Linked DNA regions of Mus musculus: regions 1, 2 and 3 are each reported to be linked to region 4. Evidence: microRNA targets listed by miRTarBase, many of them from high-throughput screens and not tested one by one. Region 4 holds a microRNA gene; each other region holds the end of a gene's coding sequence.

Region 1 (7,486 bases), not on the chromosome of region 4:
AAATACAACACTGTTCATGGACAGGGAGAAAACCAACCCAACTCAACAGGTCATACGCATGTGCTTTATTAAAAGAAAAGTAAATTCTCTATAGTTATTACTCGATTTTTCCTTAAATTTTCTATTTCGGAAATCCTGGCATCAAAACACAACTGTGGATGCAAAGGCCTTTGCTCCACTTTTAAAACAACAAAATATGATTCTCTTGCCGTTCATCTCAACCACTAAAGAAACTGGATAGGACCCGGAGACTGGAGGCCCTGTATTCCCCTGGAGTCAAAGGGGGTGACTGGGAAATGAGGAGCGAAGGGCTCTCGAGAGAGAGAGCAGACCAGTTGGTTGAGGGTCTTGTGGCTCAGGAAACAGTTGCCATGCCAACTCAACTTACAAAGTCTGGCTTTCTATCCCAAGAGCTCTGCCTCCTCACCCGTGTCTGAAATAGGTGTTAGTGTCTTCAAAAGCATCTACAAAATAGGTTTCCTTAGTAGTCACAGATGTTACAAGGTATTATCAATTGTTTCCTTAAAAGAAAAAAGAGAGAGAGAGAGAAAGAAAGAAATGAAAAGATACAAAGCTAGAACAAAAACAGATTTTGGCAACATATTTCAGTAAAGATCAAACTATGTGCAAAGAGTGGATATATTTTTTTTCTTCTGATTATGAGGAGCTACTGCTCGTCTTGAACGTGCAGCATTATATTGCAATCTGTGCAGTAGCTAAGGAGCAATCCACACTGTGCGGGGAGATCCAAACATTCCTTGAAATTGTACAACCCTACTCCAGAGCAGTCCAAAGTGCTGTTGCTGAACACATCTGTGTTCCACACACACACACCAGCCCCATCCCTGAGTAAGAGGTGTGGAAGGTTCTGCAGGGTTCCTTGCAAGGGAGAAAGGACGCTGCCACTTCCTTATGGGGTAAGGGGGTGGGGAGGAACCCAACAAGCTCACCTAACAGAAAACATACAAGGTTGGGGTTCAGAGTTAAGGACGTTCTGTTGCCACCACCACAAACATCAGGCCATCCCAAACTGAGTTGGATGAATCGAGAAAAGCAAAATGTGACCAACATAGACGATTATCCTGCAAGTCCCCCCTCCCCACCCTCCCCCAAATGCAATTTGGATTTCCACTTTTAAAAAGATTTGAGGTAAGTGGTATCCCTGGCCTTCCCCCACCCCAGTCCCTACCCCATCCCACTGACCCCCAAGGTGGCCCAGACAAACTGAAATAATTCTAAAGTTAAACAGTCTAAGGAACAGTCACGTTGTTGTGTATTTAGAAATCCCTAGAAAGAGGTTCTTGTTTGCTGATTTCTTATGAGTAATATTACTATGTTTTCTTTTTGCCCTGACTAATTTCTTGGTGATTGTGTTCCGTTGTAAACACAAAAAAGGCCTGCTGTTACTTTGTTTTAAAATGGAAAGCAGGAAAGAGAAGAAGGAAAAGTCGGCTGTTGGTAAATATTGCAAAGAGGACAGGTACAGAGGCGCGTGGCTGATCCTTGTCCGATGAGGGCACTGCTATTACCGTGCTCCCTACACAGTTGACCAAAGGTGCTCCGGGAGCCTGGAGGACCCCACCAATGTCTGCAAATAAGAGGTGGCTCCTGCCTCTGTGTGTTCTTCCTGTTTGAAGAGAAAGCTGTCCCAAGGGAATGGTGACTGTGGTTGCCAGGTTGCCCTCCAAAGCCACTGGTGGGCATGCTCAGAACACACACATATGCAATAAGTTGCTTGTGTCAAAGGCAGGGATCAAAGTCTCAAGGACACAGAAGAGACTGAAAATGAGTTGACTGAAGACCATTCCGCTCCAGAGTTCGTCCTAGGAGCCACTCCGCCTCCTGGCTCCATTCCAGCTTCACTACAGAGCGAGGGGCCTTTGCAGAGTGTGGTGACGGACCTTCAAAGTGCTTCCCTCAGGTCTCCTTGGCTGGCTCTCACTGTGTCCTGGTGACAGACACACACAGGCTCCCATAGGCTGCCTACCCTAGCACTCTGCATCCATCGGTGTTAAGGAGAAATGGAAGGGGCTCGCCTCTCCTGGCTCACTCCTCCAGCCTTTCTCTGGCCAGCGAGGGGAAGAAAGGTCAGCCCACCGAACAAGGAAAAGGCCAAAAGGGAATGAACTTTAACTAGATAGCACACTATTGGCACACAAAGTATTGCACATGCTAAGGGAGCCAGAGAATGAGATGGGACGGATGCTTCGGAAGAATCAATGATTTGTATAATTCCTATACCTGAAATAGAACCACAAGTTATGATATTCCTATTGCTCTGAGCCATGTGTGTTTTTACCTGTTTTAGTGTCAGCTTAGTGGATGCAGTCAGTTCACTCCTCGGAGTTAGCCAGAGAGCAGAGTGTGTGTTTGTGTGTGTGTGTGTGTGTGTGTGTGTGTGTTTTCTGAGCTCACAGGGGCTGTTGTAGATAACTGGCACACAGCGCCTCCGTGGCAACCTCCTAGTCCTCTCACCATTGGAGGTTAAAACAAAACAAAACAAAACAAAACCGAAAACCTAGTAAGTGCCAGTGCCCTGAGCAGATATAGGGAAGATCAAGCAAGGTCTCTGAACAGAAAGATTAAAAAAAATAAAATAAAACAAAAGGATCACAGCACTAAATAAGCGTCTGATTGCAAGAACGGGCTCACCCAGCTCTGCCAGCGGGCGGAGAGGGCGATGAAGTTTAGGGAGAGGCCAGCTATTCCGGACCTACTCAAAGGTGTTTGGTACATCCCAGAAAATGGTCTGGAAAAAGATCATTAGTCCCAACAAAAGCCACTGTGAATGGAGACTGGATAGCCAACATGTATGTGGGTTGCCAGGGGAGGGTCTTTTTGGTTTTTTTTTTTTTCTATTTTGAGAAATGGAAGAAATCTTTTCTTTTTAAATTGCTAAAAAGAAACGTCAAATAAGTACTTACTTAGGTTGTAGCCAAGAAAGAATGTTTAAAAACTTCTCCCCATTTATAAAACTAGGGTTAAAGTACTTTAAGACCCACTCAGAACCCACAAATGATATTTTGACCTCTGGGAATGAAAACTTGTGACTTTATGAAAATACCATTTCTGGAGTTTTGTACCAAACATTAGATCCTAGTTGGATTTCAAATAGAAACATAAGTTTCTTTTAAAAAAAAATTTAACACTTTTTTTTCCAGAAATGAAAATACTTGCTCACATATATAAAATGTCTATATGGGAAACTCTCAATGGCGCTGAAGAAGACCCTCAGACCTGGCTTCTGGTGACAGATGTGGTAGATGACAAAATGAAGTCTCAAAGGGGACAGAACCTTCTAAGAAGGGCCTAGGGTCTAGGCAGGTTAGAAAGTAATTTTGCTACATTTATTTATGCTCTTGTAACCCTCCCAAACCTTTCCCACAATGTTATTAGATAAAAACTGCAGGAATATCACACAAATTATAAACTCAAGATGTGCAAATCGCAAAGTTCTTTAGAAGTTCGTCCTAAAAACACTGGACACAACCGAGTGTCTTTTCCTCTGTGTCTTGTCTCGGTTTCTCTGCCAACTCTGCATATGCCTTTAACTCTTTCTCCAACATCAAAGTGACAAGTGCCTGCCGTCAGGTAGTACTCGGTAGTCATATATTGTCACGGGCTAGTTCGTACTTCACATTCATCCTTTTAAACCAGATTGGAGTTTTCGATTGCTGGCTTGTGAGCAGAGCTGAAGTGTAGTTACAGTGTTGAGAAGAAAAAACAAAAACAAAAACAAAAGCAACTTAGGTTTGTCATTTTTTTTTTCCTTTTCTTTTCCCAAAAAGAGTCGAAAGTGAGATACAGTACTTGTTGAATGACAGACCAAGATGCTTGGTTAAGAAGCCTGCACAGCATTTTTAGCTGTTTGCGAGATAAAGTAACAGAGGAGCATCTTCCAGATCTAACTCCTCATGTCACACTGGGATTGAGGAAAAAAGAAAGAAAGAAAAAAAAAAAGCGGCACCCGAGTTGTCCATAGTCATGAACAGTACTAGACCTAAAATACAGAAAAGATGCTGCCGGCACAGCTGGGAGAAGCTGGCTCTCGCGGGAAGCGGGGCTTGCATTTTCCTTCTTGGAAGCCAACGCAAGTAACCTGATTGCTTTTCCTAACACTGCACAGAAACCAGTGTGGGTGCTCCCTCCGTCCCTCCCGCCCCACTGCTACCTGCCTGACCAGGAGTGACCTGAGCAAGGACTTTCCCTGCCCACCATGACGACTGATGATGTCACTGGACTGGACCGGGTAAAGCAGAAATGAAATCCTGCAAGTGGCAGCTGCTCTTAAAAAAAAAAAAAAAAAAAAAAAAAAAAAGAACAAAAACAAAAACCCAACAAAACAAAATAAAACAAAAAAACCTCAGTGCAGTCAGGCCCCATGGGGGGAAATATATATATATATCTATATATCTATGATTAAAAGTTGCTTTTTATTGTAAAATATGTTGGAGAGAACCACGTTCTTTGAAACTAGTTTCCCATCTGCCTGTCTGATGTCTCCCTACAATGCCTGGAAGCTGGGTTCCCTGATGACTTTGCAGGTGGGAAACCCAGGTCCCCCAACCCCACACTGAGAGGGAGCAAGTGAGGGAGACAGAGGCAGAGAAAGAGACACCCTCACTCGCACTCCTTCACAAGGGACACGCACCCAGACACTCCCTTGCAGGATACTTCCCACTGTGTTTGTTCTTGAAACCAGTGGGAACTGATGCCCCTCGACTCTGCACACTGCCGGAGAAGGCAGGGGCTGATGAAGCCACATTCAGGGCCACTAAGGATGCCCGGGAGCTCCATGGACATGGTTCTGACCATCCTCCACCCACCAGCTCCTCAACAGACCCTTGCAGACAATGCAAACGCACCAGTCTCCTGCGACACACCTGTTTGACTCTAATGACAAGGTTAGAATACAAACCTAAAGAGGATGTAACATGTAAATACTGTGTTACTTAGCCTACAGTACAGTAATCTGGATACAGACAGTAAAAGGAGGCCCCGGGCCTCCGCTGCCCGCAAGGTCTCTACTTGCCCACGTTAGATCGGCCTTCGATGCAGATCTTAACCTCCTGAGGAATGAGCGAAGGCTTGGGAAGAGTCAAAGGTGGCTCGTCCTCCGACTTCTCCAGTTTACGGGTCTCCGGCGCCGACCACCTCCTCTTCCTCGTGGCTGTGGGTTTGCTCGGTTCTATTTTGCTGAGGAAGGGTGCTGCAGGCAATCCTATTTTTTCTGGAAACTTCAGTTCGCCATTCTCAGAGAGCACCTGGGCGCTTCCCTGGTTGATTCCGTTTTCCTGCTCCGCGTATCTGTGTCTGCTGCCAGCCAGGCTGTCGGTCTTTGCCTGCTTCAGCAGGACGCTGGCAGGGTCCACAGGCTGGCCCTTTTTAACAGAGCCATTCTTCAGGTTCTTGAGGGTGAGCGAGATGCAGACGTCCCCAACAGAGAGTTTGGAACACGGCAGATCAAAGAGCTGGCTGGTCCGCTCAGGACAGCAGGATGACCAGCCCTGTCCAAATACAAAAAAAGGATACTCTACCAAGACTTCGACACTGACCTGTGGAAACAGAAGTAGAGGGAGGAAAAGGGAAGGAAACATGAGAAAACAGTTCATACGTGGTGTTCACATGTGCACGTACATGTGTATGTGTGCACAGAAAACCGTGTATGTACAGAGGCTGGAGCTCAACCTTGGGTGTGAGTTCTTCAAGGATAACCCACTAAAAACACGTGGTTCTTACTCTCTTTATGTGCACAGGTGTGGGGCCATCCATTGGAACACGGGAAACTTAATAGTGGTCATACCCCTACTACCAATGACCTGAAGGTCAAAGTGTTGAGAATAAGGACTGAGTTCTCAGCCCTAAGCAGGATATCTGTATTAAACCCCCTCCTGAAGGCTCAGGAAGCCTCATGGGAGAGATGGGGGTGGGGTGGGGGGTGTCGGGGGACATAAGAGCCAGAGGCTGGGAGAAGCACTGAGAAATGCTAGCTTCTTGACAGAATACTGTAATTGCAGCCACCCCCGACACACCTGGGAGTGGAGGATGTGTCTAATGGCCTGGAGATCATCTGGTGGTCAGCAAGCTTTGCAGATTCTATCTCTGCCTCCCCAGTGGGTGCAGAGGTTACAAGTACATGCCTCCACACTCTGCCGTGTGTGTGTGTGTGTGTGTGTGTGTGTGTGTGTGTGTGTGTGAGAGAGAGAGAGAGAGAGAGAGAGAGAGAGAGAGAGAGAGAGAGAGAAGGTTTCTCTGTATAGCCCTTGCTGTCCTGGAACTCACTTTGTAGACCAGGCTGGCCTGGAACTCAGAAATCTGCCTGCCTCTACCTCCCAAGTGCTGGGATTAAAGACATGCGCCACCACTGCTTGGCTTATACTCCTTAAACATGGGTCTGGGGATCAAACTCAAGTCCTTCTGTTTTCGTGGAAAGAACTTTACCAACTGAGCTATCTCCTTAGGCCCCCTTGAGTGTTTTATTCAACACAGACACTCATAGGCTAGATAAGAAGAAAAAAACCTGAGAGTTTGTTTACCAGCCTCTCGCCTTACAGAGATACTCTGTGTGCTAACTGCAGCCACAGCTGCACTGGCCATACACAGACCCTGGGCAGAAGCTACTGAGACAAATATAAATTCCTTACATCGTTCAAAGCATTCTACCAAATACCAGGTTTGTAGGGGGTCTGGTAAAACCATCTACTGGTTGCCCAGCAACCACAAAGTGCCCACTTGTGAGGCACTGTGGGTGACTCCAAAGGCCAGCTATAGTCATGCTAAATATTGGTCAGACTGAGATGTTAGGTAAACTCTGTGAAGAACAGTATGTGCCTGTTTGCCACTGAATTCCTATCACCTAAAGGGGGGATGAATATAATCCTTAGAACCAATGAACTTTATGTGTTCAATGAATTTAAGGGGGGCATCATCTATAAAGGCTGGGACCAGTAGGGAGGTCTTTCTTAGAAGACGGGCCTGAAGGATGGGGCAGTGTTGGAGGGCTTTTGCGAGTAGACACTACAGGGACAGATATGGTCCAGCCGCCAGGTTGTTTTGAGAGCTAAAGTCTCATGCTTCACCCCTGAGCTCATCTCACTACACAGGCTTCTTGAATTACTAAGCTTCCTTTCTTTGCTGGATCCATAGACCATGGAAAGATGTTTTAGAAAGAAAAAAAAAATCACAGCACATGTCATTTGGAGGGAAATCTCATGGCTCTGGGCTATGAGCAGTTAACGTAGAGACTCATTGAACTTGTTCACATGCTGTGAAGAAGTATCTATGGAGTGCTTGCCCTTAAATAGGACATCTATATCAATCCCTGCCAAAGCTGTGGGACCATCCCAGAAGAGGGTGGGTGGAGAGACTAGGAGCTGGGAGGGGGGAAGGAGTGCTGTGTATCGCTATCTTTGGGACATGACATGGCCCTTGTAACCACCCATTCATAGCAACTATGATCACCTGCACGGGACCCAGTCAGTGTAAT
Region 2 (7,482 bases), not on the chromosome of region 4:
TGTCTGTGATTTTGGGCATAGCAACCACCTTTTTAGATCTGAATTATCTCTTTTGTAAAAGAGAAAGACTGAGCCAGGTGGTAAATATTCAGAGTCCTCTGTGATGTGAGCGGCTGTGTTGGCTTGGGATTGTTGAATCCGGTTGTCAGCGCGTGTGCTGCTCCCATCGTGTCGGAGGGTTGTCTCCAGATCGGAGGCCCTGCTGCTCCTCAGTAACTCTTTTTTTTTTTTTTTTCCTTTCAGAATATTTTCCAGATGGCGAGGTCACAGCAGAGGGATGTGGCCACCTAGCCTTTCCTCATCCCTTTATCTTCTCTTTGCCCTCAGCCTCTTAGCCTTTTCGTCTCCCATGTCAGACAGTAACCATTAACACAAAAGAAGAAAAAAAGGAAAAAAAAGTCACTATGTCCCAAAGTCCTAAGCTAAATATTATTAATAACTTCCTGAGAATTTCCCGTCTCTGGAACTGAGCTGGTAGAGAGCAGGTTGATAGTACCAGAAGTCCACTGAGATCAGACACACAAGCCCAGCCAACACGCCAAAGTCATCTTTGTCGTTTGACCCGGGCCTCATACCAACAGACTCTCCTTGTACTATATTTTTAAAACTGGAACTATGAACTCCATCCATTTGCACTGTTCAAGCATATATATGTATGTATGTATGTAAAAATTATATATACACAAATTAGCTGCACGTATATACATATATATATTTCTTTTTAAATTTCATATTGATGGCAGTACCTTTTTTAGCTTGTGTTTTTACACACCTTTCACAGAATTCATGACCTCTCTCTTGCTCTCTTTATTTTGAAACAAACTTTAAAAAGGAAAAAAAAATACAGGGAAAATACCTCTCCTCATGAAGGACTCGAAAAGTTTACAACCTGCTTGGGTTTTCTTCCCTTTTTTGTATTGAGTACAGTTTCTGGCTGTTGGTTTGCCATAGAGTCTGAGGATCGAGGAGTGTAGTGTCTTTATCTTCAAGAGGGTGCTGAGGAGGAGAAAGGCCGTTTCTCAAGAGCAGTTGAGGCTGCAGGGAGTCTAAAGACCTAGAGTCTCGATTCCAAGTCATTTTCCAAGCCATGGTCCATCGATCGACGTTGAGTCCGTCCTCCATCTCCTTCCTGTTTCTTTAGGGTCTTTTATTATGCTCCCTTTTAACTGACCCAAAACAGTTCAGGGTAATCTGAGGAAGCTGTTATAGTAGGAAACTTTTTCTTCTGCAACAGGGGTTGTATCAGGACTAACCCTGACATCAGAGGTTGGACAGATGGAGGAAAGGGAGGATGGAAGCTGTGCCTCAGATTTATAAGGGCCTTACCTCTTCCATTCCTGTCCAGTAACCATCTATTTTACATCCTCTGTGAGTTCTTTAAACAGCTGTACGTGGAAGGAGTGTCTTGGGTAAACTTAGAGTCTGGGTTGCTGCCAACCAAATCAGAGCCCTGTTCATGACAGCTGAGGGCCCAAGAAGTGGGAGTATGGTCAATTTTAGTTCACCACCACCATTTACTTCAAAGGAGACTGAAGAGAAATCTCTTAAAGAGTTCTTTACCTGGAGCTGGGGCTGGTCCCGAGGCTGAGGCTGGGGCCGGGAGTGTTTGCCTAGCCTGCATAAAGCCCTCAATTCCATCCCCAGCACCACATAAAATTTGGGTGTTGGGGTATTGTAGCACACACCTGTAATCTCAGCACGTGGGAGGGGAATGCAGGAAACTCAGAATTTTCAAGTCCACCTCTGCTAACTAATGAGTTCAAGGCTATCCTGGATCACATATCTCAAAAGTAGAAGAGTTCCTTACCTGCCCCTGCACTTAGACCTCCTAGGACCTAAAAGCAACATTTGGGACAGAGGCCAGGCTGGCACTAGAGTAATAGTCTCAAACCTTGAGTGTAAAGAACTCTGAGGTTAGGTACAACTAAAACACGTCTTTGAAACTCTTTATCTACTTTTCCTTCGATATTGAAGCCTCCACAGGCTTCGTCTTTGGCTTTATGTAGCTGAAAGGCAGCCAGAATTGGATGTAGTTGGCAGTGTTGGATTTGGTTTAAAGTTTCTTTCATGCCTTGGTTTTGCAGAGCATTCATTATGAGGCTACTTTTCTGTCTCCATTATTCTGGCAGCCACTTGTCGCAGGAAGGTGTAAACACACCTTTTAGGATAGTCTTTCCCTCCCCTGTCCAAACCCGTGGGACCACAAAGTACAAAATATAGTAGTGTTTAAAGTTGAAAAGGGCAATACCTGATTTGGAGGCTTTAATCAGGATCAACTCTCCCTCTTGGCTTTACTAATGAGTCTGAGTACCTTAAGAGGGGGCGAGTTGATTTCCTCTCCAAGATGCTCTGGAGGCCAGCTGTGTTCAAACTGTAAAAAGAGCAACATTGCAGCTAATTCCCTCAGGAAGAGAGCCTTCCAGAATAGGGACAGGGCTTTGGAAGTCCTGAAGAGTCAGCCCCACTGTGTTGGGGTTAACAGAATCTGTAGGAACACCCTGCTTTAGGTAGTCTTCCTACCAGAACACCCAGCTGCAGCAGGGAGCTGGGAAGAAGCAGCTCCCAGGGTCTCCCAGTGGAGCTGCAGTCCTGGAAGAGGAGGTCACGGTGGCCTAGAGGCCCACAGAGGCCCACAGGATCAAGTTCTTTTGCATGAAGCAGTGTTAGATGTAACTACTCCCTCCCCCAAACCCCTACCCTTCCTTTCTCTAATCCCTTCTATGTTTCTTAGACCTGGCTTCTGCCCAGGAAGGCATCTACAGGTTTTTTGGGCAGTTTGTCTCTGGGGAAGGGACTTCCCCTCCCAGCTTCACTCCAGCAGAATCTTCCTGGTCTCCAACTGTTCTTTCCTCCACGAGGAGTTTCTGTTCTCTGATACTAAAACTCAAGAGATCTTTACGGAGCAGGAAACTACTTAGTCCCTGAGAAGCCAGGTGCTCTAGGAAGCTTTGCTTGGGCAGTGCTTTGAGCTTGCCGCTCTTTGTACTTTTATTCCGGTCTTCGTCTCTCCGCCTTCCCCTTGCCCTTGCGGAGGCCTCAGCTCAGCACAGCTACAGTCAGTGTTCAGGGCAGTTCCCAGGCCTTGACAGAGCTCTCAGGGAGGAACAAGGTAAATGCTCTAGCATCCTCTTGCCTGGCCCATTTAATTTTATCCTTTAGTTACCTGGGCCAGTAGCTTTGAATTATCCCTTCATTGCTCCAAACCCGATGCCTGAAGCAGCAAAATAGGGCACTGATAAGAGGGAGCACCTCTCTCATCTCAGAGTTTCCAGCTTAAGGGCCAGCTCCTAGAAAGCAGTCTTCTTAAAGGGACCTACATGCATTTGCGTTTAGCTGAAGTCTCCAGGAATGGAGGTCCTTTCTGCCCTCCTTTCCATTCTGCTGGCTTCAGCACACTGCTGCTCCTTCACCAGTTGGATGGGTTGCTTTAACTTCTTTTTGGAGGAGCAGCAGTGTGGCTGAATACTTAGCGCCAGCGGGAGGGAGAACGCTTCTTTAGTCCTCCGTCTTGGATTCTTCTTCCTCTAACCCTCAGCATATCTGCCAGGGCTCCTTTCCCTGGATAGCAGCAGCTTCTTTCTCAGCAGTAACTGAGGGTGCATGGAAATCGGGCTCTGGGGAGGAGCGACACCAGAGGGACTGATCCTGGTAGGAGCACTTGGTTAGCTGCTGACCATGGGTGCCAACTTGTTATTATGCCCCCTTGTAAGCTGCTGAGCTGGGCTTCAGTTTTTCCCAGGCCATGCACACTTATAATTTATTTGAGAGAAACTAATTGTATTTTCACTGCAGTATCTTGTACTTTTATTTGTGATTTACAAAATGTGAAGAGAAAGTGCAGAGACCCACTGGCTCCAGTGTTTCTCCAACCCTGCTCTAGAGCTAACCACTCTAAGATTGTTTGGTAATGTTACTTAGTGTAATTAATTGTAACATATTCTTTTAAATAAATTGATTTATTGATGAAACAATTCTTTGGTTTCCTAGACTACAAATCCTTTGGGTTATGTGGGAAGAAGTAAAGAGGGGCCTTTGACAGTTGAGTTGGAGCAGCTAGTCTGAAAATGAGAGGGGCCGTCTAACTGCTTTTCCCAGCTAACCCGGGGAAACAGAGTCAGGGGAGGAAGGAAGGAGCTGCTCTTTCCCCATGGCTCCCTCGGAAATCCCACCTGCTTCCTCACTTCTCAGTTGTTGCGCTCTCCTTTGCAAAGTCTTGTGACTATTCACAAGACTCCTTCACCAGCCAAGCACAGGCAAAACCTGGCAGAGCTTTTGGGACATGGTATGTCCCACCTGACCCCCAGAATATGTGTATCTCATTTATAAGTAACTAGGGAAATATTTTATATCTCCCCTAATGAGTGCCTAAACAATACCATGTAGTCTGGGGGTTGTGATCTTCCTCTGATCATGTGCCTGAGAATAAAAGTGGCCTTGCTGTCCTTGGTCTTACACAGAGAACCCAGGTACCAGGCCACCTCCTTACTCAGAAGAGAGTCTGCTCTCCAAAAAGCCCAGCATTGTAGTGGGTCAGACATTTCCATTTTGTGTGAATCATCATTTCATTTCTTGGTATTTTCATAGCCCTTTACCACATGCTTTGGTCCTTAGTTGACCCTAAGAACAAGGACCACCAAGTTTGACACATTTTGTTTGGATTTGGGTCAAGACATTTTTCACAGTCTCATTCACCTAGTACTTGGAATCTAATAAATACTGATCACTAGATATGTTTAAAAAAAAACTCTTTAATAAAGAACCATAAAAAGGGTAGAATTATAGAGGCTGAAGTAACAGCATTAGTAAATCTATGGGACACTGCCTGTGAAATCGCAGATACAGGAATGCTCACAGCCTCACAGGGGAGACAGGCCCATGAAACACAAGGTTTCAGTGCTCTAGGGATATCATAAAAGACCCAGGTATGATGGTATATGCGTATAACCCCAGTACAGGACACAGGAGGTTTAGGAGTTCAGGGCCGGCTTCAGCTACATAGCAAGTTCAGGGCCAGCCTGGGCCACATAAGACCCTGTTCTCAAAAGCATGGGGAAGGGCAAGATGGTCCAGTAGGTAAAGATGCTTGCTGCCAAGGCTGACAACCTGAGTTAGAATCCTAGGCCCCACATGGTGGAAAGAGAAAACTGATTTCACACAAGTTATCCTCTGCACACATGTGAGTTGTATTGCACGCACATATACATTAAATATAATAAATCGTAAGATTTACAGATGATAAAGGGAAATCTTAAAGTGCTATGTAATGTAAATGATTTAACACGAGCAAGATTTCATCAAGCAGGTATCGAGCAGTATTGGCCATTATGTACAAGACCACTGCAGCATGCAGAGTGAAGAAGCGTGGGGTAAGAAAAAACCAGACTTGTCCAGAGCACAGTGAATAGTTCTGTGTCAGCGGAATATAGGGCATGTTCAAGAATGCAGGAGGAGGTAAGGATTCTCCCAGTCCCTTGTTTTTATAGTGTGTGTGTTCGAATATGTGTGTCACAGTAAACGTAGGTTAAAGAACAATTTGTGGGAGTTGATTCTCCTTCCAGCATGTGGAAGAGGGAATGAATTAGGAGACTGGTATAATTATTATGTTAAGAAGCAGACACAGTAATAACTGAAAGAAGAAATAGACATAAGGAGAAATTATAGAAACAGAATCTTGTGATTTAACGACACCGAATTTACGTGAAATGGGTGAAGGGCTCCCAAGCTCTGTGTGACTAGAGAATCAAACTATTTTAGGAGTTGAGCCAGGCCAGGTGGATGTGCTATAATGCCAGCATTCAGGATGTAATTGTAGGATAACCAGGAATCCAAGATCATGTGTGACTATGTAGCAGGTTTGAAGCCCGACTGGGCTGCATGGGATTCTATTTCAAAAAATAAAGTGGAAGAGGGCAGTACTTAGAAGGCAGAGAGGCAAGTAGAGTCCAAGCCAGCCTGATCTACAGAGTTCCAGGACAACCAGGGCTACACAGAAAAACCCTGTCTCGAAATGCCAAAAATCAAAGAAAACCAAATAAAGTATCCTAGAGAGATGCCTATTGGTTAGGAGCTCTGTCCGATCTTGCAGAGGACCCAGGTTCAGTTCCCACCACCCACACAGCAGCTCACAGGCACCTCCAACTCAAGCTCCGGGGATCCAACCTCCTTGCTGGTTTCTTTGGGCATCAGGCAAATAAATATGCAGCCCCCAAATATACATGTAGACACTCACACATAAACATCTTAAAGCTGGCCATGGTGGCACAAGCCTTTAATCCCAACAGGTAGGGAGCAGAGATAGTGGTATCTTTAAGTTTGAGGTTAGGGTGGTCTGCAGAGTTAGTTCCAGGACAGCCAGGGCTACACAGAGAAACTTGGTCTTGAAATATCAAAAATAAATAAATCTTAACCAAAAAAGAAAAGCAAAAAGCCCCAAGACTTTGGAGGGAACATGTTTTAGTATTCGACTACTCAGATTTACACACAGTGGAAAATCCAGTATAGATAGCTAGGAGTCACTTTTTAAAAAAACGTGGGGGTATTTTTGCCTTCTTGCACAGGTATGTGCACCACATGCATGCCTAGTGCAGTGGAGCCCCTGGAACTGGAGTTACAGTATTGAGCTGCTGTGTGGTGGTAGGAATTGAAGCAGCCAGTGCTTTTAACTGCTGAGCCACCTTCTGCTCCAGGAGTCATTTCTTTTTAGAGATTTTTTTTTTATGTGTGTGCATATATATGAGTTGGAATCCTCTGGTACTAGAGTTAGAGTTGTGTCCTCTGCAAGCATGGTAAACGCTTTTAACTGATAAACCATCTCTCCAGCCCCACTGGTCATTTCATCATTGTTTACTAACTAGCTCCTAGTGTTGAGTACCTATTTAGAGTACTAGCAGTGAACAAGGCAGTTGTCATTCAGATTTGGCCGTGAGTGGGTATATGTGGTAGTGTTTACTAATAGGAAAACTAAGAGAAAAGGTAGCAACTTGTTCTTCCTGAGCAGATGAAAGGACCCAGTCCACGGAGGGAGGAGATCTTGCATTTGGCAAGAGGAAGCTGACTCTGGGAGAAGTACAGTGAACCCTGTGTAGGTGCACAGCTGCCATCCCAGAACATGGGAAGTGGGGACAGGAAGAACGGGAGTTCAAGTCCATTCCAGAAATTGTCCTCCAACTGCCACCGCACGTGCCGGACATGCTCATTGCCACACATGCATGTGTGTGTGCACATTAAATGAGGCTGAGACCGGTGGTGGTTGTGCACGCCTTTAATCCCAAACACTCCAGAGACAGGTGGATCTGAGTTTGAGGCCAGCCTAGTCTATAGAGAGTCCCTGAACTGCTAGAACTATGCAGAGAAACCCTGTCTAGAAAAACCTAAATAAATTAATAAGTAATAAAACAGAGGGTGAAAAGTGAGAAAGCTTTCCTAAGAACCAGAATGTCCTAAGAACCAGGGCTGTCCAAATGCTCATATTTAGAGATCATT
Region 3 (7,486 bases), not on the chromosome of region 4:
TGTTCTGTATAAGAGCAGATATGGAAAGTGGATCTGCGTCAGAGATCAGGAGAAACTTAACGCAGACACGGTTTGCGGTCTGCTTCCCTCCCCTTTCCTTCTTACTGATCTTTCTTTTGTCCACTTAGATTTAGGCCATGCATACTTGCCAGGGTGATTTCTTTTCCAGATATAAGCAGCTTTATTGGGTTCTCCGAAGCGCATGGTCAGAGAGTAAAAGTCTACAGGATGAGTAGTTTTGTGGTTTGAGCTAGGAGTTTTTGTTTTGTTTTGTTTTGTTATAAGCGCCTTTGGAAATCAAAGGTACCTTGTGTGACCAGGAAATTTTACACCATGCCTCCATGGAGCTATCACTTAGCTATTTATCCCTGGGATCAAAGGAGTCCCGACTTTCCCCTAATTGAATCTCCCCGACAAGAGTGAGCTTTAGCCCTCACCTCCGGAATCAGTTCCGACTGACTCAAACCCTGGTGATGTTTTCAATGCAGAACTCACAGCCTCGAAGCTGGTAGGTTTTCTGATGAAAATACTGAATTCTTCAGAATACTTAGAAGAAAGTTGGCAAAAAAAAAAAAAAAAAGTCATACAATTTTTAGCCTCACTTGAGTTTTGAGATTGGTCTATAGTTGCTCATTTTGTTAAGCGAACTCTCTGTGTTGACAAAGAATGTTTCTGAAAGGGACATAAGACTGGCTCCACAGCTGGCAGAAAGCTCCAAGGGCACATTGAGTAGACAGAAACATGAACGAGAACTACAGTGGTTTCATTTCCCCATGAACACAATGGTGCTTCATAAGGTGCCATCTTATTTTATTATGTATCTTTTCTAAGAAAAGAATTTTAAATATATGCCATTGAAAGGATTTGCACCTGGCCGGGCAGTGGTGGCGAATGCCTTTAATCCCAGCACTTGGGAGGCAGAGGCAGGTGGATTTCTGAGTTCAAGGCCAGCCTTGTCTATGAAGTGAGTTCCAGGACAGCCAGGTCTATACAGAGAAACCCTGTCTCGGAAAGAAAAAAAGAGAGAAAGAGAGAAAGAGAGAAAGAGAGAGAGAGAGAGAGAGAGAGAGAAAGAGAAAGAAAGAGGAGGGGAGGGGAGGAGAGGGGAGGGGAGGGGAGAGGAGGGGAGAGGAGGGGAGAAGAGGGGAGAGGAGGGGAGGGGAGGGGAGAGGAGGGGAGGGAAGAAAGGATTTGCACCCATCATGAGGAGCAAGGGGAGAGGCCAGTCTGACTTCCCACCCCCCACCCCCTCCCAGGTCACCAGTGAGTTTTCCACCAGACCTTTCTGTTTTAACTGCTATCATGGGCCACCTACAGAATGTTGTGTTTGTACATTTAGCACCTGTCCTTAGCACCTACACCTCACTGAGAAATATATTGAGAAAGTCATGGAAATAGCTATTTGCTGCAGCCCCAAGCTCACACTTCAGCCACTCCATCGAATTTGCTTGTCTTTCTTGAGCCCTCCCAGGCATTAAGCTAGGTACTAATAAGATAGCCAGGTTCCTTGCCCTCTTCTAATTGGCTCACTACAGGGTTACAAAACCTGCCATGTGACCAGAAAGACGGCACCTGGTAAGATATATGCAAAGCATTGGCAAAGCCCACAAAGGCAATGAATTTTAATGTCAGAGGAATAAGATAAATTTCAGTGGCTTGGGATTTACTGTCATCCCTCGACCACATGAACTCCCAAGGTAAATTCTGATCCCATGGTTAAAAGAGCAACTTTCAAAATAGTTTTACAATATTGAATGCTTTTTGTTTTTGTGCACTGGATCACTGTGGGCCTTGCTCATACTAGCCAAGAGCTACCCACGAGCCACTACACCCAGCACTACACCTGCATTTTAATTAGACTTTTCTTTTTGTCTTCCAGTCCTGGTACCTGGGATAAAAGTTGCAGCATCCCACCATCCTCCAGACAGACCACCTGACCCCTTCTCAACTCTGTAACATGGACGCAACCTCAACCCGGCGCAGTTACAACTTCACTGTCAGTGGAAGGGGAGCGAAACCAACTCGAATCAACTTATACATGGAAACAGCAAACATCGTGGTCAAACAGCAAAGGCCATAACTTTTTGGGATTCTTTTTTTTTTCTTTTTTTCTTTTTTTCTTTTTTTTTTTCTTTTTTAATACTTTAGGGACTGTCGTAATTTCTCATGGTGCTGGAAATGGTTGGGCTGTGTGACATTTGAAGTGTTTCAGTGGTGGCGTGAGCAGTAGGTGAAGTGGTTGGTGAAGGATGAGCCTCGCTCGTGAACTTCCTGTGGTAACACTTGGGAGCCTGGCCTTTTCCCAGTATTTCCTGAATTTGCCCGTGCAGGTGTGTGACCCTCCCTGAGCATCTGGAGACACCTGGAGCATGAAACCTTCTGTAATCGCTGAGATCTGTAACTTACAGGACACTCAAAGGGCAATGGTTTTTTTTGGGGGGGGGGTTGTTTTTTTGGTTTTTTTTTTTCTGTAACATATTAGGGAAAAAATGCAGTTAAGTTGATCTTTCTTTTAATTTGGTTTGGTTCAGCAGTCAGCAGTTACATACATAACACAACCCGCAAGGACAGTGAATCCGCTCCTGTTGCAGAGCAATTTCCAAAAAGACGGCAAAGACTACTACTATCAGTTTGGTTGGGTTTTTGTTTTTTTGTTTTTTTTTTTTTTGTTTTTTTTTGTTTTTTTTGTTCTTAAGTTTTGAAATGCTGCACTTACATTTAAAAAAAAACATTTTTCAACAATTTCAACAATGACACAAAAATTCACATGGAAATGGGGAAGATGGTCTGTTTTGACAGAAACTGACAGGAATCAAAACAATCGAATTTTGAATTGAGTGAAGTGCAATTTCATTGGATAGCTAAGTATCTTTGTAAGATAGAGATTGTTGAAAATTCTATTTTTGTTTTTCAAGTCCTCCCACCCCAGGACTCTAAATTATTGGGGTAAAAAACAGCCTTGCAAGAAAAAGGGGAGCTATTTTTGCTTTTTATGTTTTTTATTGTTAAACTTGTATCCCTTTAAAAAAAAACCGAAGGAAAATTTAAAAAAACAAAAAAAATACAAAAAAAAAATACAAATCTAATGGTGCTTTTACCACAATATGTTAACTACATTAAATGCTAATTAATTATTTTCTGTTATCAAAGCACATAACTCAAATGAAATCATGGTATCTGTTAATTTTATAAGCTAGAAATCACTATAATGAATTATGCCAATTCTGAAAAATTTTACACATGTATGGCAACACCTGATCTATCGGTTATCCAACGCTTCATTGTACCAGACATTGTCCAGAAGTTTCAAAGACCCTTTGCAAACCCTGAACTGGGCTACGGGAAAATAACACGAATACTGATAAGGACACAACTATGTGTGCCCATTCAGATCAAAGTACTTGTTAGGGAAAAAAAAAAAGTTCACACCCTCCCCGCCCCCCCCCCCCAGATGTCTTGTATCTTATGTTTAAGGGAAAAAAAAGACAAAAAAAAAAAGACAAAAAAAATCAAAAAAGGAAAAAAAAGCAGAAACAAATAAACAAACAAACAAAAAAAATGCAAGTGATTTTTCTACCAGACAGCGAAGCACCCTTGCTTCCCATGCAATGTCACGGTTTCCTATACTATACATATATATGTGTTCTGGTCGGCAAAGCCTGCCGACCAGAGGAAGTCTCTCTGCATGTTCTAGTGTTAGTAACTAATTTTTATATAGCTAATGTAGGATAAAGTAGAGTGCATTAAGACAATATTGTAACCCCACTCTAGGCACTTGCCTTTAAACTGTCTCAGCCCTTCAGAAGGGCTCAACTACTGTCCTATACAATCAAGTGACTGAAATTCCTGGGAAGACACTTTGCTCCTCACCTAACCCCACCCCCATCCCTAAACGATGTTGTTTTGTTTTTATTTTTTTCCTTAATTTGCACGAAAACAGAAATTCCATATCAATGTGCCTTGCCCTGGATAGTGATTATTTGTGGAATTGTTGCACATGCTCCTCAATTGAAGGGGTTTTTTCCCTACTCAAGCATTCGGAGACACTTTCTGTAAATGTTAACCTTTATGTCAGCCATCGTCAGTTTCAACATCTAGACCTAAATAGAAAGTTAGCTGTTCCGCAGACAGGCGTAGTCTTGAGTGTCCTGTGTGGTCAGTGGCAGTGCTATTCTGAGCTCTGTAGATGCTTACAATGTCAGTATTTGGGATGTCGCTGCATTTTTTTTTTCAATTTATTTGGAGTCTCCCTTTATTCCTGCCCCCGCCCCCAGATATATGAAAATATGCAATACCTGCTTATATCATGTAGAAAAGCTTAGCAAGTATTAATTTTTCTTTCTTTCTTTTTTTTTTTTTTTTTTTTTTTTTTTTTGTTTGACCAAAGTCAGTGCTGCACATGACGCAGTGGGTTTTAGGTGTCTCTCTTTGTGTTTTCTGTGGTTTGTGATGCACGTGCGCAGGAAGGGCTCCTCTTAGAGAAGCAGCCAAACTGTGAAGCACTAAGCTGACCCTGCTTCAAGCAATTTTGTTTTTACAACTGTTCCTTTCACAAGCAAGCCTTAAAAAAAGAGAAAAAGAAAAAAAAAAGACAACTTCCTTTCTCTTCAGACCCCCACACCCACTTTTCTTAGCAGACGGCAGTCAATCCACATTCAATAAAAAGTACATAATGCCCATTTTTATATGCACGTTTTTAAACTTCCAAGTTCTGAAAATTGTTTACTGGTTATCTCTATTTAAGGAAAAAAAATAAAATAAAACATTTTGGATTTTCATATGTGTCTGATAAGTGGTTGTATAGTCGTTTGGCGCTGTTGTATGGTGTGATTGTCAGTGTATGGTGTCACTTCCTATAGCCAGCAGCAGACTTTGCCTTCCCTATAGCACTTAGCTGAGCATTACTTTATGATGACATATGTGCACTAAAAAAAAAAAAAAAAAAAAAAAAAAAAAAAAAAAAAAGGAGAAAGAAAAAAAAAGAAAGAAAAAATAGCAGCTTTCAGTGCTTCACAGTGAAGGGAAAAAAGCCTAGACAAACATTTTGTCAGAACCTTGCGAAATGCCAAGGTATTACCAGTAAATTGGTTGTATATACAATAAAATTGCACCCTTTTTTTAAACAAAACAAACTAAGCAATAGTTTGGGCAGTTCTAGTTGTTTTTAGTGAGCATGTTGTAGTCTCGACTGCAAAGAGAGAGAATAAACTGCCCACTCAGAAGATATGTAATTTGTATCGTTGTATAGTTTTATTGATTACACTGATTTATTCTACCCTATTTTATAATGCAGGACTTTTGTAATGTTGTCTAAATGAGGAAACATTTCTGTCAAATTAGCCTAGTGAAATCTCTGATTGTTCATTACAAAGGCAGCGTTCACAGCATTGCTTCTTCTTCTTCCTTCTCCACCTCCTTGTGGGAACGGGATTAAGTTTAAAACTTTCCCGTTTCTTTTTTGTTCGGTTGGTTTGGGTTTTTTTTTTTCTTTTTCTACTTTTAAAGTATTTAAATGCAATTATTTTTCTGCCAATGGTATAGCCTATGCCTATGCTTGAGAAGTGTAGGTCTACTGAAGAACCATTACAAATGGACGTCAGAGGTGTGCTGTACTTTTGAAGGTATTTTATTGTATTAGGTTTAATGAAGCTAAAAGTAGGGAACTCTCAACAGATTTGCAGGAGGAAAAAAAATGTTTTTAAAGGCTCTCAACCACTGTGGAGGCAGCATAGGGTGACAGCAACCAAGGATTAAGTAGTCAGTACACCAAGTTCTGGTCTGCTCATGCTTCATTGTCCAGAAAGCAGCAGGAAATTGTAGTTCCGTTGTCATCAAGCAGGAAGCAAATGCAACACCGACCAAGGCAGTTTAGGTCAAGAGCTGAGCCAAGGTGCTTGAGGAAGGCTTTGCTACAGGAGTGTAGAGACAGACAGCCCCAAGAGCTGTCAGCATTGGAAGCCAGACTTGATTCTGAGACATGTTGAATTGCTTTTTCCTCTCCCATCAAATGGCATTAACACAATTGGTAAAGATGGTCCCTCAAATGACTCCCCCCCCCCCATTTTTGTCTTTGGGAACTGAAGTCAGAGGCACCAAGTCTAACTCTCAGCATTTTTCCAATAAATGTTCTCCCTTGGCCCCTCTCCTGGCCACCACAAAGCTCCTTTTCTAAACTGTCCTGGGCAGAAGTCTTCTCTGGTGCCCTTCTCCCATCCTCCAGCCCTTCACTTCCCACTGAGGTTGTCTCTTTACTGCCTGGCATGACATCTAAAAGCTCACTGCCTATGCAGGGCTCACTCCCCACCATCCGGATGGCCTCCCACAGGCCCTCCAGCCTCAATCCTCCGTGCTTCCTTTTTTCCTTTCCCAACAGTCCAAGAGCGCAGGATCCAACTTTCTAGTCACGCTGTTCTGTATTCAGTCAGCCCACAAGAATATGCAAACTCCATCTCAAAACTACTGTCTTTCACCTTCCCAAATCTCTATCCTCGTGTGCTTCAAGCTCTATAACAACCATATCATGAGGTATTTGCAAAGGAAAACATTTTCTCCCATGATTTGTTTTTTGTTGTTATTGTTGTTGGGTTGGGGATTTTTTTTGTTTGTTTCATTGTTTTGGTTTTGGTTTTGATGGGGACTGGTCTTTAAGACTGTCATTTGATATTTTTTTACATCAGAGTTTATCCCACAGTCCCCCATCTCTCCCTCCTCCTTCCCTCCCTGTCTCCTTCTCTCTTTCTCACTGTCTGTCTCTCTGGTTTTCTTTTGCTGCTTCTTCCCTTCTGGTTTCTGGTAGCAGGCCTCCATTGAACTGTTGTAAAATACAAGAAGTGTGGTCAGTAAGGAGAGTTGGGGTGGTGCCTTCCAGCCTGCCCGCCAGTCCATCCTAGACACTCCCAGAGGCTGCTAGCTCCGCCCCTCTGGCATGGCTTTCCTTTCCCATCGCCTTCGGAGGCCATTTTGTCTTGAAGTCAATGCATGCTCGTGCTGTTCGACAGTAACCTACTCTGCCTTCTCCACCTCCGAGGCTGTGCATTCATCCAATTAGTGTCATGAATGTTTCCCCTTTATTTTTCCAATAAAAAAAAGCAGTGGGATGAAAATTGCTTTGATATATAGCAGGTATATTGAAGCTATTCCATAGCACTTAACTGTAGTGAATACTGTGTCACCAGTTCTGAAATCAATTTAATGTTTAATGCAAATCCATTACATGGTGCTATTACAGGCTGACAAAATGATTCACACGAATGTGACAACTCGGGCTCAGTTCACTCTGCTTCCCAACAGTGTAAATGCATAGCAGTGTTTACCTGCATGAGAACTATGCACTAATCTATCTGAAGAAAAAAAAAAACTATATCAACTTTGGTATCTACTTTCCGTTTACTTCAATCCTTGCCTTTTTGGTCATTGTTATAATGCCAGCTTTAGGACAGAAAGAATTATAAGAAAACCAGCATAATACCTGATATATTAAAATGTA
Region 4 (7,486 bases):
GAGCAGTCCACACCAGCATGAGTACTGCCCACCCCTGGGGAAACCTGGTTCCAAGTGACCTCCTCCTCCCTTCCCCCGTCACAGCAGTACCAGGTTCTTTGGAACAGGAGCCTGGGATACCCCAGGGGTGTCTAAGGCTCAGGAGTGGGTAGCAGTCAGGGAAATACAGAACAGGGGAAGGAGAGAACTGTGGCACCAGAAACCAAGTGATGGCAGGGCGCAAACTCAGGCAGATAGGACTATGAATTACCAAATGTTGATCAGCTTTTTTTTTTTTTTTTTTGAATAAACAGGACAAACATTGGTGGTGGGGCTAGACCACAGAAAAGCAAAGATGGAGTGAAATTCTGGTCTCAGATATCAGGGCCCCAGAGTCTGAGGGTAGTTTATCCACCCCCCATTCTTGGTTTAAAAAAAATAAAGGATCGGATGGGGCCAATAGAAGGAAAACCAAACCCTAGACCCTGGGAATCAGTGACAGGGGTTTCCATTTCACTCCACTGTTTACCTTAGCACTAAAGAGGCACTTTCAAGTATCTAATCTTTGCCATTGGGTGGGGTGGGAAAAGCTGCTCCAAGAACAGCCCCCACCCCTAGCCGGCTGTTGCCAGAGAGAGCAGTCTTTACAGGCATTCCCCAAGGCTCAGCCACTGCTCCCGAGGTCCCCGCCCTCTGGAGGAGGCGGATCATCAGCGCTGAGGGACCAGTCTTTCCTGTGACTGCCACCAGCGAACGAAACTTTTGTATGATACATAAAGTGTTTTGGGTCTATTTTTAATAAAAAGGGGAAAAGCAACTGTGAGGTGGTTGTCCTGGCTTTCCTTCCTTAGGTGCGGACCTTGTACTGTCCTCCGTATGCACACAAGCAAGGAAGGGTCACCCCACCCCTTTTAAACCAGTAGGAGGCAGCAGTTGCTTTGTTTGTGGCAAGATCCTCCTCCACCTGTTTCACAAGCGGTAAGCATCCAGGTGAACCAAGAGGCGTGGGTTTTGTGAGCTTGTCCAAAGGGAAGGAATATCTAAGTGTCTTCAGTCCCCTGGGCCCTCCCCAGTGAGGCTACTTTTTATCAGATTCAGGATGTGCAACTAGGGTAAACTTACTCCACAGTTTAGTGTTTTCTTGTGTATCAATTATTTGGAGGAGGAGGGTGTCCTAAGATGTCTTAATTCATGGATACCCTTGAGGCTAAAATGAAAATCTATGGGGCGGGATGCTGCTGGCAGTTGATCTAAAGTATAGCATCAACAGAAAAGTGTGATGTGAGGAACATGGCTGGAGTGCACTGATGTGAAATTGGAGAGGCCCAGCCCCTATAGAGCAAGACTATATTTATGGTAAAAAGCCATTTGTTACATTGTAGGTGTGTATTAATTGCCAGGCGTTGTTCTGAACTCTGGGGATGCGTGGAGAGCAAGCCAGCCATGGGCAGACTTTTTGGAACTCTGAATCTAGTGGCCAGAAAGAACCTAATTAATCCCAACAGAAGATAATATGGGCTCTAGTCCAGACTAGCTCCCTAGACCTGAGGTGTCAGGGATGGCTTCCCAGAAGAGAGACCATGTTGGAAAGATGGGCAGAAAAAGGACAAGATGAGAGAGAATTTCAGACAGAACTGTGTGGTGTGGCACAAGCTGGGCTCATTTGAGGAAACTTTTTTTTTTTTTGAGGCTGGAACAGAAGTGCAAGAGGATGAGACATGAGATTAAAATGGGAGAAAGGGGAAGAGCTGTAAACCTCAGAGGATTGGGACTGCATCTCAAGGACACTGGGAAAGCATGGGCAAACTACTGTTATTCTGAAATAGTCTTATGTAGCCTAGGCTGGCCTTCTAACTTGCGGTATGACTTTCTAATCCTACCTCCAGTTTCTAATTACTTATTATTTCTGAGATTATAGGCGTGTTCTGCCGCATCTGGCCCGTGGATCCCTTGTGTTTGGGATCAAGCTCAGTACTTTCTCATGCTGTGCAAGGGAGGGAGGGTTGCCATAGTTTCACTACTTAGCTCTGGCTTGCCTGAAACTTCCTATAAAGATCATGCGAATCTTGAACTCAGTTTTACCTCCCTCTTCAGTACCGGGATTAAAGGTGTGCACCACTCTACCCAGGGAGGCTCAGATTACTTAGACTGAAGTAATGGATTTAGAGCTATCTGTAGTGTGACTACACTGTCACTGTCTTCAGACACACCAGAAGAGGGCATCCGATCCCTTTATAGATAGTTGTGAACCACCCTGTGGTTGCTGGGAATTGAACTCAGGACCTCTGCAAGAGCATAGCTGTGCTTTTAACCGCTGAGCCATCTCTCCAGCCTAGAGCCACCTGTGCTGTTAGCATCAGAATCGAGAGACTGTAGAAAGGACAAAGAACCAGCAGACACAGAAGGGCCAACAAGCCAGAAGCCTGAGTGCTGGGACCATAGGAGTGTCTGACCCACAGTGTCTTCTTTCCTTAAATTCTAGTAGGTACCCAATTCCATCCTTTGGCCCCACTTGCTGCATCAGAGCAAGCTTTAAAATCTGCTCAAGGAGAGCCCTGTGAAAGACAGAAAAGTCAATGGTGTGGTTGTGGAGCACGAGAAGACTCTGGGCACCACTTAAGATTCTAACTAGTGCTGACCGAATCCTGGGTGACCAGGCCTTCAAGAACCATCACAAGCAAGTGAGTGGTCAGGAGAGTGTCATGCTGAAAACTGAGTGAAGAGGAGACCTCCTTCCTACATGGAAGATGCAAGGAAGAGCCGTAGAGGACAGGAGGGACACCGAAGCCCCTTTGCCTAGGCATCTGTCCTTTCTTGTTAGCCCCTTTCCTTTTCAGTGCACCCTATCCCCAGAGGCCTTCTGTGGGCCTCACAAATTTTCTCCCATACTTCACCATCTGCCCATCCCAAGCTTCACCTGAAAACTCAGACCTTCATTTAAGGAGCTGCCCCTTGGCGGGGCAGGGGTGTGGGGGGTGTGGCGGCGGAGTTTATTCTTAAAAGCTGAAGACTTCAGATGATATCCTCACATAACCAGCAGGTGGCATCAAAACCATTCACCCCCTCAGTTCAAATCTCTCTGGACAGGTCTACAAAAATGGGTGCCTTCCTGTTGGGCTCAGGATAGAGCAGTTAACTTAGGAGCTCTACAGCCTTAGCTTCCTCATCTAAGGGAGGGCTCCATATATCCAAATTGCCAGCAGAGTAGCTGACTGGTGCTCAGGTGGGAGAAAATGCAGTGATGCTGAGGAGGCTGCCGGCACTGGGTAGTACTACAAGGCCGATGCCCTTTTAACATTGCACTGCTCGGTACACGTTAGACAGTAGCACAATGTGAAAAGAGCTCCGGCCAGCAGCAAAGGCATGCCGGCCCGCCTCCTCACCCTTTCTCCCAGTCCCTGGCCACACTCAGCTCACGTCACGGCCTTCCTCTCGTCCCTCGTCCTCATTTCCTTCCCAGCAAAGATCACCTTTTTCTTGAGGGGTGGTGGTGCAGAGCCAAGTGAGACCGCCTGTGGGAGTCCCATCATTTGACACTTCTCAAAGGAAATAACTGGTTGTGTTGTGGTGGTGGTGGTAGTAGGGGAGGTTGCTCTCTGCCTGCAACCTTTCAGGCAGAGCCTTTCACTCATCTCCAGACTAATGCTAACTTCTTAATTTTTGAAAAGAAAAAAAAAAAAAGAAAGAAAGAAACCTTGGAGGTCTCAAGGTGATGATCTCAGGTGACCTCCAGGTCTAGAATAATGGAACCTAACTACAGGTGCTTAGGCAGGAGAAAGAAGCTCCCAGATCTGGAGGTGCAAGCAACTGAAACCCCACTGTTTCCTTTCTGATGTCTTCAAAGTACTCTATGGATATGGTATTAAGCGAAATGGCCAGTGATTTGGCTCTTGAGTTAAGGATAAGCTCTCATTGACACTGGGCTTAGAAGCCACCGGTTCCTGTCTATCCCAAGGGTTTAGTAGTGGAGTCTTCACACTCATTTCCATGACCCCAGGCCATCCCCCTTAATTTCATTGAGGACAATAGAGACTGATAAAATTCCAAAGCCAGGTGCACTTGAAACCCAAGGCTCAGAGCCATGCAGGCCTCTAGAGTCACACAGCAGCTAAGCATACTGGTCAGAAGCCAGTTACAGCTCTAACCTAAGGGACAGAGACTGCAAGGCTCCTCCCTGTGGAGATCCATTCAGACCATGGAGTAGCCTCAGGGAGACCACCCCCCACCCCCATTGCAACAAGCAGGAAAAATGGAGGCCTGAATTTCATTTGGGAGCTCTTCCTCTGTGCTTCCCCCTCCAGCCTCCTCCCACCCTCTCAGGAAGCAGGAGAGTGTCTTTCCCGCCTTCCCAGGCAGTTTATTCTTGTAATCAGCAAACACTGGGCCCTGCCCCACAGTTTGCACAGTTCTAATGGACAGAAACCAAGGCCCAGCTTGGGTCAGTCGCCAGGCCTCTCTGCTCCTGGAGTTGGGCAAGCCAGTTGGGAACAGGACCAGACCAACATGGGGCAGAGGGACAAAGACAAGACTACCCAGTAAGCTTCACGGTAGCCAAAGAAGATTCTTCATCAAGGAGTTCCCAGATCTTTCCTTAGGGAGCGAAGGGATACGCAGCTGAGACACCGAGTCCCTTGGAGCTCACGTGCCTAACTCATTCCTGAGGGGAGACCAGCAATTCAACAGCCAGCAGGACCCCTCCCCCACCTTGGGCCTAGGAGCCATCCCCCAGCTCCTTCCAGAAGCGGGTGTAGAAACAGAGGAGGAAATGGGGGAGGGGAGGGCCTGGCTCAAGTTCTCTCCACTCCCCCTCCTCATTGGCCACCATCTTCCGGCCCCAGCCCGCCAGAGCAGCAGGAATGGGGCCCAGCCTGTGGAAAGGAGAGAAAGGGCAGGTGGGGGGTTAGCTGGAGCAGCAGGGGCAAGGGACTGGCTCCAACTGTCTCCTCTTGCAATCCCCCCTCCTCCCGCAACCATGGCGACGGGAGGAGGAGAGCAGGAGGGTCCTGAAAGCCCTGTTCTGTGAATGGGATAAGAGGGGCAGCTGGGAAGTGTGGGGTGAGGGGCACTTTCCCTCGACACCCAACTGTGCCCCCCGCCACACCTCGAGGCTGGACCACACGCGCTCGCACGCACACGCACAAACTCTCTGCCATACTTGCTGCACAACTCACCCCACAGTCGACACTCACCCCAACTGGAGGGTGGAGGCACGGCTCCCCGCGTCCTCGCACCCCACCGCTACTAGCTAAAGCCAGCCTCACACCCCTACAAGCAAGTGGGGCTCACCTTACAAGTTCTGAACGTGACCAATTCCCTGCAATGCTCTAGCGGCTCTTGGAACACACCCTCCAAGTCCCCTGCGTCCCCACACCCTCCCAAGCCCAGGGACAGGCAGATGGCTCAGGCTCAGAACCCCCCACCCATTCCCACCACGCCCCCCCATTGGAAATTGACAGTGAGGCCACCTCCGAAAGACATGCCTGGTGCTCCCCAGTTAGTGTTTCAAAAGGAAAAATATAAAAGATGCCTACGAGTGAGGGGGGGAGGGCAGAGGAGAGAAAAAGGCCAGAGCACCCCCTCCCCTCGTCGAGAGAAGAAAACCGAAAAGCGCCGAGCTCCCAATACCTACACATCGCTCTTCTTAGGTTCCTCTGCCCGCCACCTCCTTCTTCCCGGGCTCTTTCTCTGCTTTTCCCTCCCTTTTGGCTCTCTTTTCTGGCCTCGCTCCCCTTCTCACGCCCTCTCGTATCCCGCTAGCCTCTCTTCCCCCGCCAGGCTCGAGTCCTCGCCGGCCGCCCCTCTACCCGCCGGCCAGGACCGAGGCTCCAGGATAAGCTGGCTGCGGCGCTCCTCTCCTCTACAGATCTGGCTCTTCCCCCCGCGCCCCCTTTCTCCTTCCACACTCCCTGCCGTCCATCTTGAATACTTGGGATTCTTGAATGGAGTGAGCAGGATCCGCTCCCCCAGGCTCTCATTGGCTGTGTGTTAACCCTTTTGAAACGAGATCCTCCCTCCCATTGGCTGCCAGGCTCCCCTCTTCTCCCCCAACCCCCATCCTCTCCGCCTCTCGACAGCCCTCGAGGTCAGGGCGCTCCCCGGCGCCCCCTCCCCTGGCCTCTCGCCTCCTGTTCCCTACTCCTACCCCATTTTAGGATGCCCCTCTTCCAGCTTTTTTCCATCGCCCTCCCCCCCTACACACACACACACACACACACACACACACACACACACACACAACCCCAGGTGAAGGCAAATGCAATTCCCGCCAAATGTAACTTGCGGCTGGGCTGGCAGAAGCCCTGTTCCCAGATGCCCCGGGTGCTGGACTTGGAGATCTCTGAAAATGTATCTGGTCAATTTCCTGCCTATATTCAACTCTCCCTCTGACCAGAAGTACTTCTCTAGCCGGAATTTTCTCAGCGTTTTAGCCTCACCCAAAGCAGTTCGGGCGCCTCCTGAATACATGCGGCCCCTGGGTTGGGCAGGAAACTGGCAACTCCAGAAAGAAGAGGTGGGGCTGTTCAGAAGAGCTAATCCCTAGTGCCGCAGGGCAAGCCTGACCCGATCAGGAATGCGGCGCATCTGAAGCCCTGTTCAGTCACAAACATCCCTCTAAACCAGCCTTGCCCCCACCCCCATCATCAGCACCCCTACCTAGTCCAAACTGACTTTCTTGCACCTTGGATCTTGGTCTTGGAGCTGGAGGATCCTAGAGTCTCAGGAGGAAGGCGAAAATGGGGGCGATATATCAGGAAATAGAATAGCTTGTATCTATATCTGCCTGTAACAGGCATGCATCAGTCATGATCCTTCCATAGGCCTCAGTCTTCTCAACTGCAAAAGAGTGAGCCAAAACAGAGCTGCCATGTGGAATTTTCTGGGTACAAAAGGAAATGGTTCTATATGTGTGTCATCTAAGATGGTAGCTACCAGATACATAAAGCGATTAAGCACTTGAAATCTGGCTAGAGCAGAGGAACTGCCTTTCAAATTTAGTTTAATATCACTTTAAATTTTATCAGTATATGTTAATTGTATATTGAGTTTATGACTTTTTGTTGTTTGTGTGCTTTTTATTTTGTGTTGTTTTGTTTTGAGACAGGGTGTCACAACCTTGGATTTGCTATAAAACCAAGACTGGCCCTTTTCATACAATGGCTACTTTGCTGTATATATATATATGTAATATGCTGTATATATATATATGTAATATGTATACATATATATATATATATATATGTAATATGTATACATATTACATTATTGCATATATTACCCTGGTGAAAACAGAATATTTTTGGATGTGTTGTTTGGGGGGGGTTCTTGAGACAAGATCTTGCTAGGTAGTACAAATCCACCCCAAATTTACAACAGTCAGGCCTCTTCACTAAGCCTCCCCCGAATGGTGTGATTACCACCTAACATGTGTCAACACACCTTGTCCCCTCATCCTTTAGTAAAGCAATCCCTTTATTTTATCAAAAGCTGTGTAGTTTTTCAGACCCAC

The links. The annotated mature microRNA mmu-miR-130a-3p reads CAGUGCAAUGUUAAAAGGGCAU and lies in region 4 at 3,263-3,284, opposite strand. An mRNA with a match to its seed (bases 2 to 7 or 8) in the 3' UTR can be bound and repressed. Matches are read on the target gene's strand: a 7mer-m8 pairs with bases 2 to 8, a 7mer-A1 pairs with bases 2 to 7 and ends in A, and an 8mer does both.
Region 1: the mRNA of Atxn1 is a reported target of mmu-miR-130a-3p. The part of its 3' UTR that is shown has no 7-base or 8-base seed match.
Region 2: the mRNA of Snx27 is a reported target of mmu-miR-130a-3p. Seed matches in the 3' UTR shown: 7mer-m8 at 631-637.
Region 3: the mRNA of Nfia is a reported target of mmu-miR-130a-3p. Seed matches in the 3' UTR shown: 7mer-A1 at 4,922-4,928 and 7mer-A1 at 7,328-7,334.

What each region holds. Positions count from the first base shown.
Region 1 is chr13:45,552,031-45,559,516 of GRCm38, forward strand. Atxn1 (ataxin 1) reads right to left here. Exons shown (of 8, transcript NM_009124.6): 8 at 1-5,555. The coding sequence ends at 5,025. Among named protein-coding and RNA genes, the nearest start is that of Gm34582, 30 kb to the left of the region's middle.
Region 2 is chr3:94,494,033-94,501,514 of GRCm38, reverse strand. It overlaps Snx27 (sorting nexin family member 27), which reads left to right. Exons shown (of 12, transcript NM_001082484.2): 12 at 244-3,973. The coding sequence ends at 291. It also overlaps a transcript of Celf3 not described here. Among named protein-coding and RNA genes, the nearest start is that of Celf3, 19 kb to the right of the region's middle.
Region 3 is chr4:98,109,339-98,116,824 of GRCm38, forward strand. Nfia (nuclear factor I/A) reads left to right here. Exons shown (of 11, transcript NM_010905.3): 11 at 1,880-7,486. The coding sequence ends at 1,897. Among named protein-coding and RNA genes, the nearest start is that of Gm34784, 13 kb to the right of the region's middle.
Region 4 is chr2:84,737,854-84,745,339 of GRCm38, forward strand. Mir130a (microRNA 130a) reads right to left here and starts at 3,325; the gene lies at 3,262-3,325. It overlaps Gm19426 (a long non-coding RNA gene), which reads right to left and starts at 6,549. Exons shown (of 2, transcript XR_104776.5): 1 at 5,609-6,549; 2 at 4,312-4,847. It overlaps Ypel4 (yippee like 4), which reads left to right. Exons shown (of 5, transcript NM_001005342.2): 5 at 1-24.